Linked DNA regions of Xenopus tropicalis. The protein of the gene in region 1 interacts with the protein of each later gene in a biochemical or structural test. Links are inferred from orthologs where the notes say so. Each region holds a gene or a part of one and is shown on either strand. Other genes may lie near its edges.

What was found.
Region 2: the proteins of blnk (region 1) and cd79a form a complex in vitro, tested with the Homo sapiens proteins (2 studies listed by BioGRID). The link is inferred for Xenopus tropicalis from reciprocal best matches to the Homo sapiens genes BLNK and CD79A.

Annotation. Positions count from the first base shown.
Region 1 is NC_030683.2:26,109,436-26,119,938, forward strand, and holds the start of blnk (B-cell linker protein), read right to left. Parts: upstream 6,283-10,503; 5' UTR 6,189-6,282; coding exon 6,142-6,188; intron 1-6,141. UniProt on the Homo sapiens protein: Functions as a central linker protein, downstream of the B-cell receptor (BCR), bridging the SYK kinase to a multitude of signaling pathways and regulating biological outcomes of B-cell function and development.
Region 2 is NC_030683.2:106,692,761-106,701,867, reverse strand, and holds the end of cd79a (B-cell antigen receptor complex-associated protein alpha chain), read left to right. Parts: intron 1-893; coding exon 894-1,223; intron 1,224-1,713; coding exon 1,714-1,832; intron 1,833-3,722; coding exon 3,723-3,782; intron 3,783-4,292; coding exon 4,293-4,406; 3' UTR 4,407-5,193; downstream 5,194-9,107. UniProt on the Homo sapiens protein: Required in cooperation with CD79B for initiation of the signal transduction cascade activated by binding of antigen to the B-cell antigen receptor complex (BCR) which leads to internalization of the complex, trafficking to late endosomes and antigen presentation.

The DNA.
Region 1 (10,503 bases):
TATATCCTGTATATATTTGCACAAATAAAAAGGGGTTATATATACAGGTATGCGAGCCATTATCCAGAATGCTCGGGACCCTGGGTTTTCCGGATAAGGGGTCTTTCCGTAATTCGGATCCCCTACCTTAAGTCTACTAAAAAAGTTATTTAAACAGTAATTAAACCCAACAGGATTGTTTTTGCTCCAATAAGGATTCATTATATCTTAGTTTAGATCAAATACAGTGGCTTGCAAAAGTATTCGGCCCCCTTGAACTTTTCCACATTTTGTCACATTACAGCCACAAACATGAATCAATTTTATTGGAATAAACGTGTACACGTGTACACGTGAGAAGTGGAACGAAAATCGTACATGATTCCAAACATTTTTTACAAATAAATAACTGCAAAGTGGGGTGTGCGTAATTATTCAGGCCCGCTTTGGTCTGAGTGCAGTCAGTTGCCCATAGACATTGCCTGATGAGTGCTAATGACTAAATAGAGTGCACCTGTGTGTAATCTAATGTCAGTACAAATACAGCTGCTCTGTGACGGCCTCAGAGGTTGTCTAAGAGAATATTGGGAGCAACAACACCATGAAGTCCAAAGAACACACCAGACAGGTCAGGGATAAAGTTATTGAGAAATTTAAAGCAGGTTTAGGCTACAAAAAGATTTCCAAAGCCTTGAACATTCCATGGAGCACTGTTCAAGCGATCATTCAGAAATGGAAGGAGTATGGCACAACTGTAAACCTACCGAGACAAGGCCGTCCACCTAAACTCACAGGCCGAACAAGGAGAGCACTGATCAGAAATGCAGCCAAGAGGCCCATGGTGACTCTGGGGGAGCTGCAGAGATCTACAGCTCAGGTGGGGGAATCTGTCCATAGGACAACTATTAGTCGTGCACTGCACAAAGTTGGCCTTTATGGAAGAGTGGCAAGAAGAAAGCCATTGTTAACAGAAAACCATAAGAAGTCCCGTTTGCAGTTTGCCACAAGCCATGTGGGGGACACAGCAAACATGTGGAAGAAGGTGCTCTGGTCAGATGAGACCAAAATGGAACTTTTTGGCCAAAATGCAAAACGCTATGTGTGGCGGAAAACTAACACTGCACATCACTCTGAACACACCATCCCCACTGTCACATATGGTGGTGGCAGCATCATGCTCTGGGGGGGGGGGCTTCTCTTCAGCAGGGACAGGGAAGCTGCTCAGAGTTGATGGGAAGATGGATGGAGCCAAATACAGGGCAATCTTGGGAGAAAACCTCTTGGAGTCTGCAAAAGACTTGAGACTGGGGCGGAGGTTCACCTTCCAGCAGGACAACGACCCTAAACATAAAGCCAGGGCAACAATGGAATGGTTTAAAACAAAACATATCCATGTGTTAGAATGGCCCAGTCACAGTCCAGATCTAAATCCAATGGAGAATCTGTGGCAAGATCTGAAAACTGCTGTTCCCAAACGCTGTCCATCTAATCTGACTGAGCTGGAGTTGTTTTGCAAAGAAGAATGGGCAAGGATTTCAGTCTGTAGATGTGCAAAGCTGGTAGAGACATACCCTAAAAGCCTGGCAGCTGTAATTGCAGCAAAAGGTGGTTCTACAAAGTATTGACTCAGGGGGCTGAATAATTACGCACACCCCACTTTGCAGTTATTTGTAAAAAATGTTTGGAATCATGTATGATTTTCGTTCCACTTCTCACGTGTACACCACTTTGTATTGGTCTTTCACGTGGAATTCCAATAAAATTGATTCATGTTTGTGGCTGTAATGTGACAAAATGTGGAAACGTTCAAGGGGGCCGAATACTTTTGCAAGCCACTGTACAAGGTACTGTTTTATTATTACAAAGAAAAAGGAAACCATTTTTAAAAATGTGAATTATTTGATTACAATGGAGTCTATGGGAGATGGCCTTTCTGTAATTCTGAACTTTCTGGATAAGGGGTCCAATACCTGTATATTTTTTTTATATATGAAACTGGGGAGGTGACTGTATTGCACCCCCCATCCCCCAAGATCACGGTCCTGGGGCAGCCACCGGAATCTATTATAATCCATCACTAAATACTCCTTACCCTACAGATGGATAATGAGATTTAGGAATTTGGCCACCCGTCTGTGCCCAAACAGTGCATACATCCAACCTGATTGTAAATGTTAAACTCTATGTGGGATGTAATCATTCAAATCATTTAATCCATACAGAAAAGCTGTCATGATTTTCTAAACTTTTCATAAATACACATTTGCAGCGCTTGTAGATTTCAGGTGGTTTATCTTGTGATGTGTGTAGTGCTAACATTACAACAAGTTAACCCCACAAAATGAGTTCATAAAAACCTTTCCTTATTGTAAAATTTGCGATATTATCAAGGAACCTTTTAAAAAACACACACAAACCTATTATATATATATACTGGCATTTCAGAGTTACAATGCAGCATGGAATATTGAGCACAATTCACAAAATTGATGTAAATATTACTCCTGTGCAGTAACCCTGAGCAGCCAGCCAATCAGAAGTTTGCTATAACAGTCTTTAACATTACATTAGAGGGGATTATAGGCAGATGGGGGATTTTATTTTTCCCATAAAAACGATCAGCACACCAGAGGCCCCCCCTTTAGATTAGAGGAACGGAGCTTCCATTTGAAGCAGGTTTTTCACGGTGAGGGCAGTGAGGTTGGGGAATATAGAGAGGCAAACCTGTATGGCTTATGGGAAGTAGGTTAACTGGTTCTACCTATTAAAAAGGTGAAGTGGGTGCTGAAAACATTGCAGAGCATATCCCAATTTCCCAGCATGCTGCTCACTCTTATTAAGAGAAAAAGGATGGTAGAGGGAGGTAGGTAAATAGTTCAGATTGGGGCTTAAGAAAGTTTAGAAAAAATGTTTTTGGGGCCCTGAGGGTTAAAGGAACAGTAACACCAAAAAATTAAAGAGTTTTAAAGTAAAAGAAATATAATGTACTGTTGCCCTGCACTGGTAAAAGTTGTGTGTTTGCTACAGTAACACTACTTATATTATTATGGCACTTATATTGTAGTGTCACCCACTGTGACCTACAGCACTTACATTTGCCCATTTGTGTCTGTTAGTTACCCCTCCCATATAGATTGTAAGCTCTACGGGGCAGGGACCTTGTTCATCTTGTTTCTGACTCTTATTGCAACTGTACCTTGTATTTATTTGTATTTATTGTTGTACTTTGTATTTATCCATTATCTTTAACCCCCTGTTTGTATTAATGTATTCTACTGTACAGCGCTGCGTACATAAGTAGCGCTTTATAAATAAAGATATACATACATACATACATACATACTATAATTTATATAAATAAGCTGCTGTGTAGCCATGGGGGCAGCCATTCAAGCTGGAAAAAAGGAGAAAAGGCACAGGTTACATAGCAGATAACAGATAAGCTCTGTAGAATACAATAGTGTTTTATCTGTTATCTGCTAAGTGCCTGTGCCTTTTCTCCTTTGAATGGCTGCCCCCATGGCTACACAGCGGCATTCTTTATATAAATTATAGTAGTGTTTCTGAGGCAAACACTCCAGTTGCACCAGTGCAGGGCAACAGTACATTATACTGGAATTTCTTTTATACACTTTTTTTGGTGTTACTGTTCCTTTAAGGTTATCAGATCAAGTGATAAAATGACTAGAATGGGTTTCCAATCAGTGCCCTGCAGTACATCACATGCCAATGCACCACAGGAGAAACGCAAATAGGAATATTTACCTATTTTGCACAGATACAAGCAGAGGATGGTGCTTAGGGCTAATGGAGTTTCTGATCTGTTCAGAAGGGGAATCTGCTCAAACAAATTTGTGAAGTATTTGTTGATTTCTGAAATTAATTTTTGTAGACAAGACCTACATCCATTATTATTATTATTATTATTAACATTTATTTATAAAGCGCCAACATATTCCGCAGATCCTAAGCAATGATATGAAACCTGTGACCATCCCAGATGTTGCTGAACTACAACCAGAGTATGGGCTATGGGAATACACCCTTTAATTCCAATACAGCATTATAAAGAAGAAATTCAGTGCTTACTAACTTGCCCTTTAAATAGGTGCAACTAGTAAAGAAACAGCAGAGGGAGTTCTTTTCCCTTGCCCCCTGCAATCTCTGCAGCCTCACAGATCTGTTTGTTCAGACACATGGCTGTTGTCTATTTATTATGCATTTATAATGCTGGATATACTGGCTATACACACACAGTCAGTGCTATGGAGCAACAGACACGCATGTTTGTGATGTTTCTACTACTAAGGGTTCGTACTAATACTGAACCCTTAAATTCATGTAACTTTACGGTTTTAAAAAACTGAATTTAACATTTTGCAACCATTAATGCAATGACTTTTAGAATCTGAGTACAGGTATGGGATCCCTTATCCGGAAACCAGTTATCCAGAAAATTCCGAATTAGGGAAAGCCCATCTCCCATAGACACCAATATAAGCAAATAATTTTAATTTTATAAACTGATTCCCTTTTCTCTGTAAAAATAAAACAGTACCTTGTACTTGATCCCAACTAAGATATAATTACCCCTTATTGGGGGCAGAACAGCCCTATTGGGTTTATTTAATGGTTAAATGATCCCCTTTTCTCTGTAATAATAAAACAGTACCTGTACTTTATCCCAACTAAGATATAATTACCCCTTATTGGGGCAGAACAGCCCTATTGGGTTTATTTAATGGTTAAATGATTCCCTTTTCTCTGTAATAATAAAACAGTACCTGTACTTGATCCCAACTAAGATATAATTACCCCTTATTGGGGGCAGAACAGCCCTATTGGGTTTATTTAATGGTTAAATGATTCCTTTTTCTCTGTAATAATAAAACAGTACCTGTACTTGATCCCAACTAAGATATAATTACCCCTTATTGGGGGCAGAACAGCCCTATTGGGTTTATTTCATGGTTAAATGATTCCCTTTTCTCTGTAATAATAAAACAGTACCTGTACTTGATCCCAACTAAGATATAATTACCCCTTATTGGGGGCAGAACAGCCCTATTGGGTTTATTTCATGGTTAAATGATTCCCTTTTCTCTGTAATAATAAAACAGTACCTGTACTTGATCCAAACTAAGATATAATTAATCCTTATTGGAGGCAAAACAATCCTGGGTTTAATCAATATTTAAATGATTTTTAGAAGATTTAAGTTATGGAGATCCAAATTACGGAAAGATCCCTTATCTGGAAAACCCCAGGTCCTGAGCATTCTGGATAACAGGTCTCATACCTGTATACTGTTAAGAGTTCAGATTTGATTCAGGATGTGGAAATATCTTGTGTGGCGAATTAGTTACTTAACTAAACCCAAAAAATGTTGGGTTTGGTGCATCTCTACTTATTTTGCAATATGCATTGAGTTAAAAGTAAATATTGAAAATAAAATTATTTAAAAGTTAGGCTGCCTGTATCAGCTTATTAATGTTAAGTGCTGAAATGATGCATTCAGGTCATTGCTGCCGTACAAGAAGCATCCCCCATTTAAAGGGATGATGATTGGGGTTAGCCTGACTAATAATTAACCATGAGCAGTTTAGTTTGCCTTTGCCACATTGTGAATTGTTATCCAGTGAAAGTTTTAATTGATTTCACTTTGGCCTGAATGTTTGCGCCCATACAAACTGATATCAATTGCTGATCAAGTATCTAGCATTCTTGGGTTGCCGTGATGAAATACATTAAAATCGAATGTCCGTGGGTTCAAACTACACAGATTTCCGCTCAGCCCATTCACATTTCCATTCACATCCTTATTTATGAGTATTTGTGCATTATGCAGTTACATTTTTTCCAAGTAAAAGAATGAGAGGAGGAAATAACAAGATGGAGGCACATTGCAATATCTTGCGGCGCTTCTGTACACCCCCAAGCATGCTGGAAGTTATGGTTTAGTAACAGTTATTCATGAGTCGGACACCATTGCCTTATATGCAATGAGCTTGAATAAACAACCCCCAGGTACACAAGGAAGCTGAGAATATTTCAAGGTGACTTTTTTGTTACTTGTAAAATCAGAAATTTGGGGTGTAAGCCAGTGTTTCCCTCTCAGGGATAGTTCTGCTCCTTCACTGTAAACAAGAGAAAGCCCCTCACCTGAACTTGTGCCCAGCTGGAGCTGAGAGCTTATTGAATGTGTCCATGTTCCACAGGTGAGCCAGGGTCCCTGCTTGCCAGCTCCTTGTGGTGCCAGTCGCTCACAGCCTGTGAAATCCCCGCTGTCTCTGTCAGATTTCCCCTGAGTAGTGTGTGTTGGCACATAGTCATTTCGTTTGAGAAGTAAAACTTGCCTGATTACATATTCAGGTTTCGAGTTTCCTTCTCGTCACATGACCCACTCCCTGCCCATCTGGCTCCTGAATAGGCTTTTAGCAAACATTTCTCAGCTTCTACCTGTTTGGGAGTCACAACTAGCGCTGCTTTCTTCCTGCTGCTGTATGGGTTATGGGTTGCTGCTGGAATTTCCACTGAACTTTAACAATATCTCACAGTATTTGAAGATTCCAACTGCCAGCTGTCAGCTCAACTACATGTTTTCTCTCTGTGTCATCTGTGAGAGAACACTCCTGACATATGATATAGAGATTGATATTCTGAAATAATTTGCAGTTGGTCTTAATTTTTACATTTTATTTTTGTGAGGCTTTCCAGTTATTTAGCTTTTTTTTCAGCAGCTGTCCACTATCTGGTTGCTAGGGTCTTATTAACCATAGCCACCAGTCAGTGGTTTGAATAATGTGAATAGGCAAGGGAATGAATAGGAAGATAAGTAATAAAAAGTAACAATACTATTGTAGCCTCATAGGGCAATTGTTTTTTTGACTGTGGGATCAGTGATCCTCATTTGAAAACTGGAAAAGGTGTAGAAGGAAGGCAAATTATTTAAAATCTATTAGAAATAAATAATGAAGACCAACTGCAAAATTGCTAGGGCATTCTATAACATACTTAAGGCTGATGCCACACGTGGCGTTTTTACGCTGCGTTTTTTCTCAGCCTCAAAACGCCACACAAGCCACACAGCCCCTGACTATGGCGTTTTTCAGCCTAGTACTGGTGACGTAGCAAATCCCGTTTCCATGGTGCTAATAGTGCAAAATAGTAAAAAATGCCGCGTATTTCTGCTAGGTCTGGCAGCTGCCTTTGTGTATACATAGGAATAGCTTGCTGTGCAAATACTGGCATATTTCAGCCAACGCTTGAAAAATCCGTGCTAAGGCTTTTTCTAGCGTATTTCCGCATTGTGTGGTTTGGTTCGAGTCTTTTCAAGTTATTTCTATGGATGATGATATCGGGCGTTTTTCAGCCGCTGAGAAAATTTGAAAATACGCAGTGTAAAAACGCCTCGTGTGGCATCAGCCTAAAGGTGAACCACCCCTTTAAGGTGATAATGATTTTTTTAGGGCACTTATACACTGTGCATTTAATGATTGATTCCATTATATTCTGTTTGTACCCTGAGTTGACTTTTATTGCATTCATGTTTCATTTCAGTTTTTTTAAGCACAAAACCCTAAATTTTTTGCATTCAACAGAAAATAGAATAGAGGGTTGCATTTAGTAACTCACAAAAATGCACTTGATTGCATGTATGAAAATGCAATATTTGTGTTTTTAGACAGCCAGCATGGGATTTAAAAGGCATTATAATTGCCTCTGTGCTCAAGCCCTGAAAACCAAATTCCTATTCACTCCAGACAGTAACCAGAAATTGCACCACTTTATATTGTAGTTATTCTTGCTATCATTTGTGCCACCTCCTCTTATAAATTTTGCTCCTCTGTTGCCTGGTACATGGAACTACTGCCTCCAATAGTCACTCGCCCCTGCAATGTAAAAGCCAGCAAATGTGGAATATCCTTAAGTTCAGCCCCTGTCCTGCCCCCTAAAGCCCCTGATCCACCCAGAATCTAGTGGAAACCTACTCTTTTTCTCTTCCCTGATCCTCCTGGCATCACCCGTGACATCATAGCTTTTCATCATCAACCCGCCTCCTTTGTCACCACCCCGCACTGGCCGGTAACTTTCTTGTAAAAAGATGGCAACTGCAACTGTATATATTTATATGTCTTTTAGCCATGTGTAGCTGTAGTGGTTTTTATCACAGCCCTGCACAGTGCATTACACATAAGGGTAACCAGAATAAAGGGGAGGGAATACTCCTAATATGAAGTTGAAGTTGAACTGAAGAAGCTGCTCGGATGAGTAGTGAAACGTATTGAATGATTACCAAACAAGTCCAGTTGCTTTAAATTTATTTATATTAGATATACCATGACCTGAATGAATGAAAATCTTCATAGACAATACTCCTAATATTGAGATATACAGATTTCCTGTTTTCTAAAGAATTTTTGGTTAATACTGATCTGTAAATTCCCCCTGTATACAATGCATTGTGCAATGACAGAAAGCAGGCCAGTGTACAGATTAGTCATTATTCTGTATAGTAACCATGTTTGCTTATTGCTTTGCTAATAAGGAAATAACAGCCCATTGGATGCAGAGGGGGGAAAACAATGTAACACTTTTTGTCTGAAATGTAAAAATGGCCGCCCACTTTGAGTCCACTGGGAGCGACATCAAAGGGGTTAGTAACATGTTGCTCCAAACCCTGATTGGGGATCACTGGTATAGAACTATGCAGATATTAAACAGTTTGTATATGCTGAGATCCAGCTGCAAAACAGTTCTTCTCTTTCTGCATCATTTGAAATCCTGGCAGGGGAGGAGGGACTAAAACATTGATGTTATAAATTGTAAAAACTTCTCCAGAGCTTACAGAGAGCATGCAGGAACTACTTAACCCACAATGCATTGCACTGTGATGTTCTTTTCCTTATTGACATCACAGGTGCAGGGAATTGTGGGATATGGAGGATGCAGGCTGAAGGCAGGCTGAAGACAGTCGGCTACTGTTACATTTTATTTGAGTCTCAAAGTAGCCAGCCAGATCAGCAGGGGATAGGGGGTGGGGCTTAGGGAACTGTTCCAAACCATGATGCCATTTTTTATTTGTCTCAAATTTTTAATATGCAAATTAGGGTTCAGATTCAGTTTGGAATTTAGAAACATCTTCTGTGGAGGATTCAGTATTTAGTCAAATGCAAAAAAAATTAAAAATATGGAATGAATGCATTGGTGTAAACAGGCACACATTATGGGGTGAATGCCACAAAATTCTTCATCACATACCCTAGTGGTCATGTTTTGTCATATTAAAAATTAAAGGCCTGGATGGTCCAAAGAGTTATTGTGATAATGCAGAGAAGTCAGACCGGGGGGGTACAGTTTTTGCTGTGTCTCGTATTGTCTGGAAGTGACATCATTTTGCATGACTACTGCTGGAAGTGATGTCACTGCGCCAGCTCCTTCTGATGTCACTGAATGCTTACGTCATAGATACGCATACAGTCTCCAGGTGAAATCTGTAAAGGTGACATGTCTGACAATGTGCATGTACAGCAATAAAGGCTTTATTTTACATTAGAACTGACTGTGACTTCTGCTGATTGCTTCATTCCTCAAAACATCCTCTTATTGTGGGTGTAATTGCAAAGGAACAATATATTTAGAAAGAGAAAGAAGAGTCTAAGGATGATTCACTGAGCCGTCTTGTGCAATACTTGTTTTCTTATGATGCCATAAAGCTTGGCGGGGCTTTATATCATCTCAAACCTGGTGCATGTGCCTCTCCAGTAGCCAAGGGGTAATTATTTATCTTACAGATCTTTACAAACTGCCTGCATCTTTTATATTTAGCGTTACCCCTTTTATATTTAGCATTACCCCTTTTATATTTAGCGTTACCCCTTTTATATTTAGCGTTACCCCTTTTATATTTAGCGTTACCCCTTTTATATTTAGCGTTACCCCTTTTATATTTAGCGTTACCCCTTTTATATTTAGCGTTACCCCTTTTATATTTAGCGTTACCCGGGAGCTAAAATCCTACGTATTGATCATACAGTCAGTGTGCCAAGTGCAAGGTAGTATATGCGAGTTTGTCAGATTTCGTTTATTTATATTATATTTTCTTTTTAATTCTCAGTCCTCCGCTGACAAGCTGGAAACCAAACTGAATCCAGACTGCACTATGCATATTAAATTTGAGGATAATAATATAAAAAACAGCATTATATAAAGTTGAGTGCTTTATAGTCGCATGACTGCAGTTTGGCATAGGAAGGGCAGGGGTCTGGATTTTGCTGTGCTGAGATTCATCTAAATCAGGGCTCCCCAACCTTTCTTACTCGTGAGCCACAATCAAATGTAAAAAAACCTGGGGAGCAACACAAGCACCATAAAAGTTCATGGAGGAGCCAAATAAGGGCTAAGATTGGCTATTAGGCAGCCTCTATGCACACTATCAGCTTACAGGGGGCTTTATTTGGTAGGAAATCTTGTTTTTATTCAACCAAAACTTGCCCCCAAGTCAGGAATTCAAATATAACTCCC
Region 2 (9,107 bases), about 81 Mb from region 1:
AGCACCAGTGCTGTTTATAGAAGGCTGTACAATATCTTATTGTAGTTGTTTACTTTTTCTATTTAATGGTGTGATATCAGCCAAAGGATTGGCCAGACATCTGTCAATATTGGGCACACGTCTGGGCAAGGTGTAAGTTCTTTCTATCTGGACTATCAATATAAAGACATGGAGGCCAGGATTTGTGGCAAGGCCACAGAGGCCCAGACATAGGGCAGCACAAACTAAGCTGCACCTGAATTTTGCGCACACCCAGAGCACTGGGGTCTGGGCACGCGGGAGATCTCTGCGCATTCTGTCCCCTGTGTAAGTCCAAACGATGCTCATATACACAATTCTGGGGGGAGGCAGTAGCATTGAAGGGTGCCGGTCTCTGGAGGCGCTGCACAGAAATATGGCCCTGGAGAAATCTTTGTCCCAGGAAGAATACAATCGGGGTCCTTTACTTCAGGCGCATCACCCACTTATGGCTGCAATTACACTGGAATTATAAAACACTGGAATTATAAAACATGGTGATTGCACCTGGAAGTGCATTTTGCACACTGCGCTTGTGGGTTGTCCTTGACCCCTTATGTACGATTCCCTAATATCAAGTTAACTTCTTGGTTTGAGGAAGGTTCATTTACCCTGGTGCTGACCGGCTTTTCAATAGGCCTTATATTACATATTGTGCTACTGGGGACAGCACTTCTTTACTGCCATCCATGATAATAGGCCATTATACACTAATGATATGGATAATCCATAAAAAGTATCCTTAGAACTGGTGCTTAGTGATGTCACTGATGTCACATGATGTGTGAGTGATCTTGATGCTTGGTCTTTGAGCTGTTTAATGGGTAAGGGGTCCACTATTCCCTGAATAACACTTGGCAATTGTCTTTAACCAGGAAAGCTATGTTGGATGCTGAAGATGCAGTGGGTGCCTACTTCCGTGCTGGGGTCCCCAGGGGACAATGTGAACCTGATGTGTAATTATGATACAAAGACATCTGAGACGAATCTCCATGTTGACTGGATTCAGATCAAGTGGTACCAGAACGTATCAGCCACAGCCAATATAACAGAGACGGAGGCAAACATGGAAGGGAGGATTCGATACAACAAGAAAGTCCTAGAAATCAAAAATGCACAAAAGAACGACAGTGCACTATATCGGTGCAGAGTAACAGTGGGGGATAAAAAATACAAGTCCTGTGGGACATATCTGAGGATTCAAGGTGAGGCTGTGACAGAGCCACAGGGTTGCAACGAGTACAGTCAATTCACTTGTGTTGCAGTTTAAAGCTAATAAGATAATTGTGCCACTTACAATTCAAGAAATGCAAGAAAATGTTTGTCCATGTAAAGGGAGAATTGATGCTTATGTTAACAGAATGGCCCCTTCATAGGCTGGCATCCTTGACTGCTCCACAAGGCTCCCAAAAAGTACCCCCTCTCCCCCATACATTGGCCTATAATGCAAAGTTGCACAGTTGAATTTGTGGCCACTTCCTTTAAGTGAGCACTGAGTTTGAGTATGTGCAGTGAAAATGACCTGGTTCTGGTGGCCACCAACCCCACTGGACCACGCTACATTCCTGTACATTCTGGGCCCAGGGAATTGGGCACCTTTCAGAAGTCAGTGGGAGCAGTTGTTAAGTAAACCCTGTGCAGGTTTTAGTTGTTGGCAGGTTTGTGCACTCGTCACAAGGGGTTTCTGTGTTGCAGAGGCTGAGCCCTACGCTTTCTTTAACCTTGGGGAGACAACAAAGAACAGAATGATCACAGTGGAAGGAGTAGTGCTTCTCCTGTGTACAATCATTCCGGGGACTTTCCTACTGTATAAGGTACGTGTTATATATTGCACAATAAGTTATTATGGGCGTTCTTTCAGTCCATGGTCAGGGCTGAATCTGTTTCAGTAGCCTACAGCAGCCAATAAGAATTATGGTTTCATTAGTGTTACTGCCAGGGACCAATTAGAACTAATTGATGCTTGGTTGCTACTTTGGATTGAAAGATCAATTTTGTGAGCCTTCTCCACCCTATTTGGAGCTACAGCATGAAACAGGGTAAGATGTATTTCCTGCTTTTATTGGCTGTTTTCCTTGTGATTTGGCTAATTAAATATACTTCCAATGGGCTTCCAGTGGGTTTTTAAGGATGCTGGGGCTAAGGTTCCTCAGGCTACCAAGCCCTTGCTATATGTGATATTACAGGCAAACCCAATAATGATTACAACCAAATAACACATGTTTTGCTTTATATATGATGATGGTTCATGTTATACTGGGTAATGTTGTCTTTTATGGGTGGGGGGAATTCATACCATACAGGTGTCTGATGAACCTAGGAGGTGGCACCCCCATGATGTTCTCATGATTGAGATTTCAGTAGCAGAAGTTGTTATTATGGTTTGCTGTAAGATGTGTCCTTGCAGAGCAGTGATTCTCAACCAATGGCTTGCGAGTAACACGTTTCTTACCAACCCATTGGCTGTTGCTCCCAATTTCCTCCAAGCAGGTGCTTATTTTTGAATTCCTGGAGGCAAGTTTTGGTTGCATAAATGTACTGCCAGAACAGAACCTCCTGTAGCCTGCCAGCCCACATAGGGGCTACCAAATATACAGTCACAGCCCTTATTTGATACCCACAGAAACTTTTTATGCTTGTGTTGCTCCCAATTTTTTTTACAATACTTAAGGCCCCCACCGACTCGGCAGCTTATCGGCCCGTGTAGGGGCAGAAACGAGCAGGCTGGCCGACCGATATCTGGCCTGAAATTGGCCAGCTATCGGTCGGCCAGGTTAGAAAATTCAGTCGGATCGGGGACCGCATCGGCTCGTTGATGCGGTCCCTGAACCGACTACCCCATTGCCGCCTACATAATCCGATCAGGGCCCCAGGGCCAAACGATTGGATTATTTTTTTTTTAACTTGAAACTCCCCAATATCGCCCACCCGTAGTTGGGGATATTGGGGGAAGATCCGCTCGCTTGGCGATCTCGCCAAGCGAGCGGATCTTACCGTGTATGGGGGCCTTTACACAGTATAAAGACACAAGGGATGGGTGTAGGGTACCAATAGATGTATGTATTGCGGTTGTTTCTTTTTGAAGAGGCAAAGCCTTTGTTATTCTCCAACAATAGAAGAAACCTTGGAAGAGAGTTTTCAGCCTAGTCCAATAACTTGGTTATCATATACTAGAATGGCAAATTAATTGTAATTTAAAAAGGAAACTATAGAAAATAGACTGATGCAAGTTCTATCATCACAATGGATGCTGTGATCTTAAACTACAGAAAAATCTGTACCAAGACCTTAGCCTTAGTGCTTAACCCTAGTTAAAGGGGTTGTCCACCTTAAAATTAACTTTTTAGCATGTTGTAGAGCTTGATGTTCTGAGACAATTTGCTATCAGCCCTCACTTTTTATTTTCTGTGGTTTTTGAAGTATTTATCTTTTTGTTCAGCAGCTCTCCAGTTTTTTTAATTACAGCAGCCATCTGGTTGCTAGGGTTCAAATTACCATAGCAATCAGGCAGTGGCTTGAATGAGAAACTTGAATATGAATAGGAGAGGGGCTGAATAGAAAGATAAGTAATAAAAAGTAACAATAACAATAAAATTGTAGCCTCACAGAGCATTTGGGTGCTGGGGTCGGTGACCCCCATTTAAAAGCTGGAAAGATAAGAAAAAGGCAAATAATTCATTATTTTTCTGTTTTTGTTGCCACAGAAGCGCTGGGAAAACCTAACGTTATTAACCACGTCACAGATAGGGGATAACATTTATGAGGTGAGAGTGATATTCATGGTAAATAATATTATCCATTATATTAACTAGTATTAACATGCGGACGTCACATTGTTACATGATTGTAGGGCCCTAAGATTTATTATTATGCCATTTAATTGAATTTAGAATTGGATGCCTAAAGGTGGTCCTAATAATGTGCTTATGAAACACTATTTCTTCCCAGGTAAAAAGGGAGTTTCCCCTGCAGTTCAGGAAAGCCCACTAGGTGGCGGTGTTTTCACATGTTAGAGGTCTTTTTCCTGGGACTTCACCTCACTGAGAGGTAGCTAGAGGAATCAGTTCAGTTAGCATAGATTAGTTAGAGGATGAGGTTGGGGATGAGGTTGCCAGCCACACAGATATAAGATATATGTTTAGTTACAAAGAGGCAGAGCATTTGTTTCTGGTTTCCCAAAAATATTCATCAAACATCTACACATACCCCAAGGCCCACACACTGCAAAATCTCCCTGGACCCTGCTTTATAAGTCTCCTCCTTCTCTCCCCCAGGGTTTGAATCTTGAAGAGTGTTCTACATATGAGGACATCACTCGTGGTCTGCAGGCCACATATGAAGACGTGGGCTCCTTGCGGGGCACTGACATTCAACTGGAGAAACCCTAACTGGGCTCAAATTACTGGCCAACTTTTGTAGTAAGAGCCCCTCTCACCTCTGCCCATAGCAATAACTGGGTCATTCTCAGAGGTGCAACTCTTTGTTCTGCATATTAGCAAATGCTTCTTATTACATTGCTAAAGAGATGTGAAGGTTCATTCACTTAGCTGCCCAGAATGTTAATGGGCCCCTTGTTCCTGGTTAGTGAGGATAAGTATACAATCTTGCTTTTATGCTGAGTGCTTTTTGCACAAATGTGTTGGTAACTCAAAATAAGCTTTAATTGGGATCCAGTTCTTTTCTTCAAGAGGGTCCCACGTGCAACTCTTCCTCTGCCCACTGCCGGCTTTCCCTATCAAAAGAGCCCTCTGGGTTTCCCTATACAGTAGTACCCAGTCAGACCCAGGACCCAGTACCCAGGACTGGAACATACACTATGGGGCAGATTTATCAAAATGTGATTTTAGAGTTTAATACATAAACTCACCCAGCTTCTATTCATTCCTATGAGATTTTTAGAAGCGTAATTTCACCCATGGATAAATACAGTTCTAAAAGTCCCATAGGAATGAATAGAGAGTGGGTGATTTTTATGTATTAAGCTCTAAGCTCACATTTTGATAAATTTGCCCCTATCTGTTGTTGAGCATTCTATCAGCTTGCTGGGAAAATATACAAAGATATGAATTTTTCTAATGATTCCTCCTAAATATTATGTTTATTTTTTAATGATAAAAATATATATTACTTTTTTCTTTTACTGTTTCTCACTTAATAAATCCTTTTGATAACCAAGCATATTTTTCTTCTCTTATGTTGGTACTGCGGCCATACCAATATAGGTGCATCTCATCTACGATTTGCATTGAATTATGGGGGAAAAATGATCTCCAAATCCCATAACTGGCAGTAGTTTTACTGTATATACTCGAGTATAAGCCTAGTTTTTAAACACCCAACATGTGCTGAAAAAGTTATATTTGAGTCGGGTGCCATGGGTCCCTCCAGACTAGCACCCTCTGTCCTTTGTGTGCAAATTAGGCCACCTGCAACCAGACCCCCCAGTGCCCTGGCCCACTCCCAAATTAATCTTTATCTACCATCCTCACCTGTCCCATTCTGCACTAGACATTGCACTTTATATTCTATATAAACTATATATAGTTTTGAAGAATTTTAACTCTTTGTGTTTTAGCTTGGTTGCTGATTGAGCTAAGGGGGTAGTACTCTTAAGGTATCATTGTTGATACCATATTGTATTTGACCCTCTTTTCCGCTTACAGAGCTAGTTTACTGTTTTTCTTTGAAATAAATATTTAAAAACATATACCCCACTGATGCCTCATTTAATGTAATTTTATTGGTATTTATTTTGATTATTGAAACTTAGCAGTAGCTGCTGCATTTCCCACCCTAGGCTTATACTCGAGTCAATAAGTTTTTCCAGTTTTCTTAGGTACAATTAGGTACCTCTGCTTATACTCAAGTATATAGTTCAGGGATCTAGGCTCTAAGATTAAGCAAAGGTCCTCCAATGTCATTTTTTCGGAAATTTTGCCGGTGCCACGTGCAAGTTTAGGGAGACAGCGGGAGCTTAGGGAGCTAAATGCTTGGCTAAAGTCTTGGTGTAGGAAGGAAGGGTTTGGGTTCCTAGAGCACTGGGCTGACTTTTCCTTGGGGTACAATCTATACAGCCGTGACGGATTGCACCTCAATGGAAGGGGGTCTGCTGTGCTAGGGGAGAGAATGGTTAAGAGGTTGGAGGAGTGTTTAAACTAGACAAGGGGTGGGTGGGTGAGCTAGAATTCTATGGGATAGCTAGTGTAGACAGGGCAGTGGGACTAGCAAAGGGTTGTGGGGGAGGAGTGAGGGGGGCATATAGTTTATCAAATAAGGAGCTTCCGTTACAAGGAAAACAGTCTAATATTTGCCTTAGCTCTAACTCTCCATTAGCTGATGTAAACATCAGAGGGAGAAGTAGTAATCTCCGCTGCATGCTGGCTAATGCGCGAAGCTTGTCGGGTAAATTAGGGGAGCTGCAAGCTATTGCATGTATTGAAAATTATGATTTAATAGGTATCACTGAGACCTGGTGGGATGATAAATGCGACTGGGCTGTGAATTTAAATGGTTAAACACTTTTTAGGAGGGACAGAGAGATTAAAAAGGGTGGAGGGGTTTGTCTTTATGTAAAGTCAGATTTAAAGCCATGTAATAAAAACATTACCAATGAAAACATTGAATCTCTTTGGGTAGAAATTTCAGTAGGGCTGAAGGTCACAAAGAAAATGATCATTGGTGTATGCTATAAACCCCCCCGTATAGATGAGGGGGATGAGGCCCAGCTATTGTTGCAAATGGAGGAGGCTTCAAAACTGGGTCAAGTTGTTATTATGGGGGACTTTAATTATCCGGACATTGACTGGAGTAATGGGGTGGCTAAGTCAGAAAAAGATAGTAGGTTTGTAAATATGCTAAATGACAACTTTCTATTTCAGGCGGTTCAAGAACCTACTCGGAATGAGTCTATTTTGGACCTGGTGATATCTAATAATACTGAACTTATCTCTAACATTTGTGTGGGTGAGCATTTGGGGAACAGTGATCACAACATGGTCTCCTTTGAGATAATGCTGCAGAGACAGTGCTATAAGGGAGTAACTAAAACACTCAATTTTAGACGTGCAGACTTTGCCAGTATAAGGGCATCTCTGCAATGTGTCAACTGGGAAAGGCTTTTCATGGGGTTAGACACAGAAGGAAAATGGAACATCTTTAAAACATTGCTTTGCAAGTATACACAACAGTATATTCCCCTTGTAAGCAAGGAGAGGCATCGCAAAGCAAAACCTTTATGGCTGAATAAAAGTGTTAGTGTCGAGGTTGGTAAGAAAAAACGTGCTTTTAAAGCATTCAAGTTAGCTGGGACAGCGGAAACTTTCATCAGGTACAAGGAAGCAAATAAAGCATGAAATAAAGCTATCAGGCAAGCTAAAATAGAAATGGAAAGAGATATTGCAGCTAGGAGTAAAAAGAATCCAAAATTATTTTTTAATTATGTGAATAGTAAAAAAATGAAGCAAGAAGGGGTGGGAACCTTATTATCACGGGGGGGGGGGGTAAGTTGGTTGATGAGAACGAGGAAAAAGCAGAAATTTTGAACTCTTATTTTTCATCTGTCTATACATCTGAGGAGCCAGCTAATGAAGGCTTCCCTTTTAATATGCCCAGTTCTAGTAATTTAGCTACTGACGCATGGGTCACTCAGGAGGAAATTCAAAAGAGACTTGAACATGTAAAGGGAAACAAAGGTCCAGGGCCGGATGGATTCATCCCAGGGTATTAAATGAGCTGAGCGCTGTGATTGCCAAACCTCTTCACTTAATTTTTCAGGATTCGTTGAGGTTTGGCATGGTGCCGAGAGACTGGCGAATTGCTAATGTGGTGCCGTTATTTAAAAAGGGATCCCGTTCTCAGCCTGAAAACTATAGGCCTGTTAGTCTGACATCAGTAGTAGGAAAAATTTTGGAAGGGGTAATAAGGGATAGGGTACTTGAATACATTGCAAATCACAATACTATTAGTTTGTGCCAGCATGGTTTTATGCGTAACAGATCTTGCCAGACTAATTTAGTCGCCTTTTATGAGGAGGTGAGCAGGAACCTTGATGCTGGAATAGTTGATGTCATCTACTTGGACTTTGCTAAAGCGTTTGATACAGTACCTCACAGAAGGATAATGATCAAATTAAGGAATATTGGCCTAGAACATAATATTTGTAATTGGATAGAGAACTGGCTGAAGGATAGATTACAGAGAGTGGTTGTAAATGGAACATTTTCTAATTGGACCAGTGTGGTTAGTGGAGTACCGCAGGGGTCAGTCCTTGGGCCTTTGCTTTTTAACTTGTTTATTAATGACCTGGAGGTGGGCATAGACAGTACTGTTTCTATTTTTGCTGATGACACAAAATTGTGCAAAACTATAAGTTCCATGCAGGATGCTGCCGCTTTGCAGAGCAATTTGACAAAATTGGAAAACTGGGCAGCAAACTGGAAAATGAGGTTCAATGTTGATAAGTGCAAAGTTATGGTAGAAATAATATAAACGCAAACTATCTACTGAATGGCAGTGTGTTGGGGGTTTCCTTAATGGAGAAGGATCTAGGGGTTTTTGTAGATAACAAATTGTCTAATTCCAGGCAGTGTCATTCTGTGGCTACTACAGCAAATAAAGTGCTGTCTTGTATAAAAAAGGGCATTGACTCAAGGGATGAGAACATAATTTTGCCCCTTTATAGGTCCCTGGTAAGGCCTCACCTTGAGTATGCAGTGCAGTTTTGGGCTCCAGTCCTTAAGAAGGATATTAATGAGCTGGAGAGAGTGCAGAGACTGCAACTAAACTGGTAAGGGGGATGGAAGGGTTAAACTATGAGGTGAGACTGTCGAGGTTGGGGTTGTTTTCTCTGGAAAAGAGGCGCTTGCGAGGGGACATGATTACTCTGTACAAGTACATTAGAGGGGATTATAGGCAGATGGGGGATGTTCTTTTTTCCCATAAAAACAATCAACGCACCAGAGGTCACCCCTATAGATTAGAGGAACAGAGCTTCCATTTGAAGCAGCGTAGGTGGTTTTTCACGGAGAGGGCAGTGAGGTTGGGGAATGCCCTTCCTAGAGATGGGGTAATGGCAGATTCTGTTAATGCCT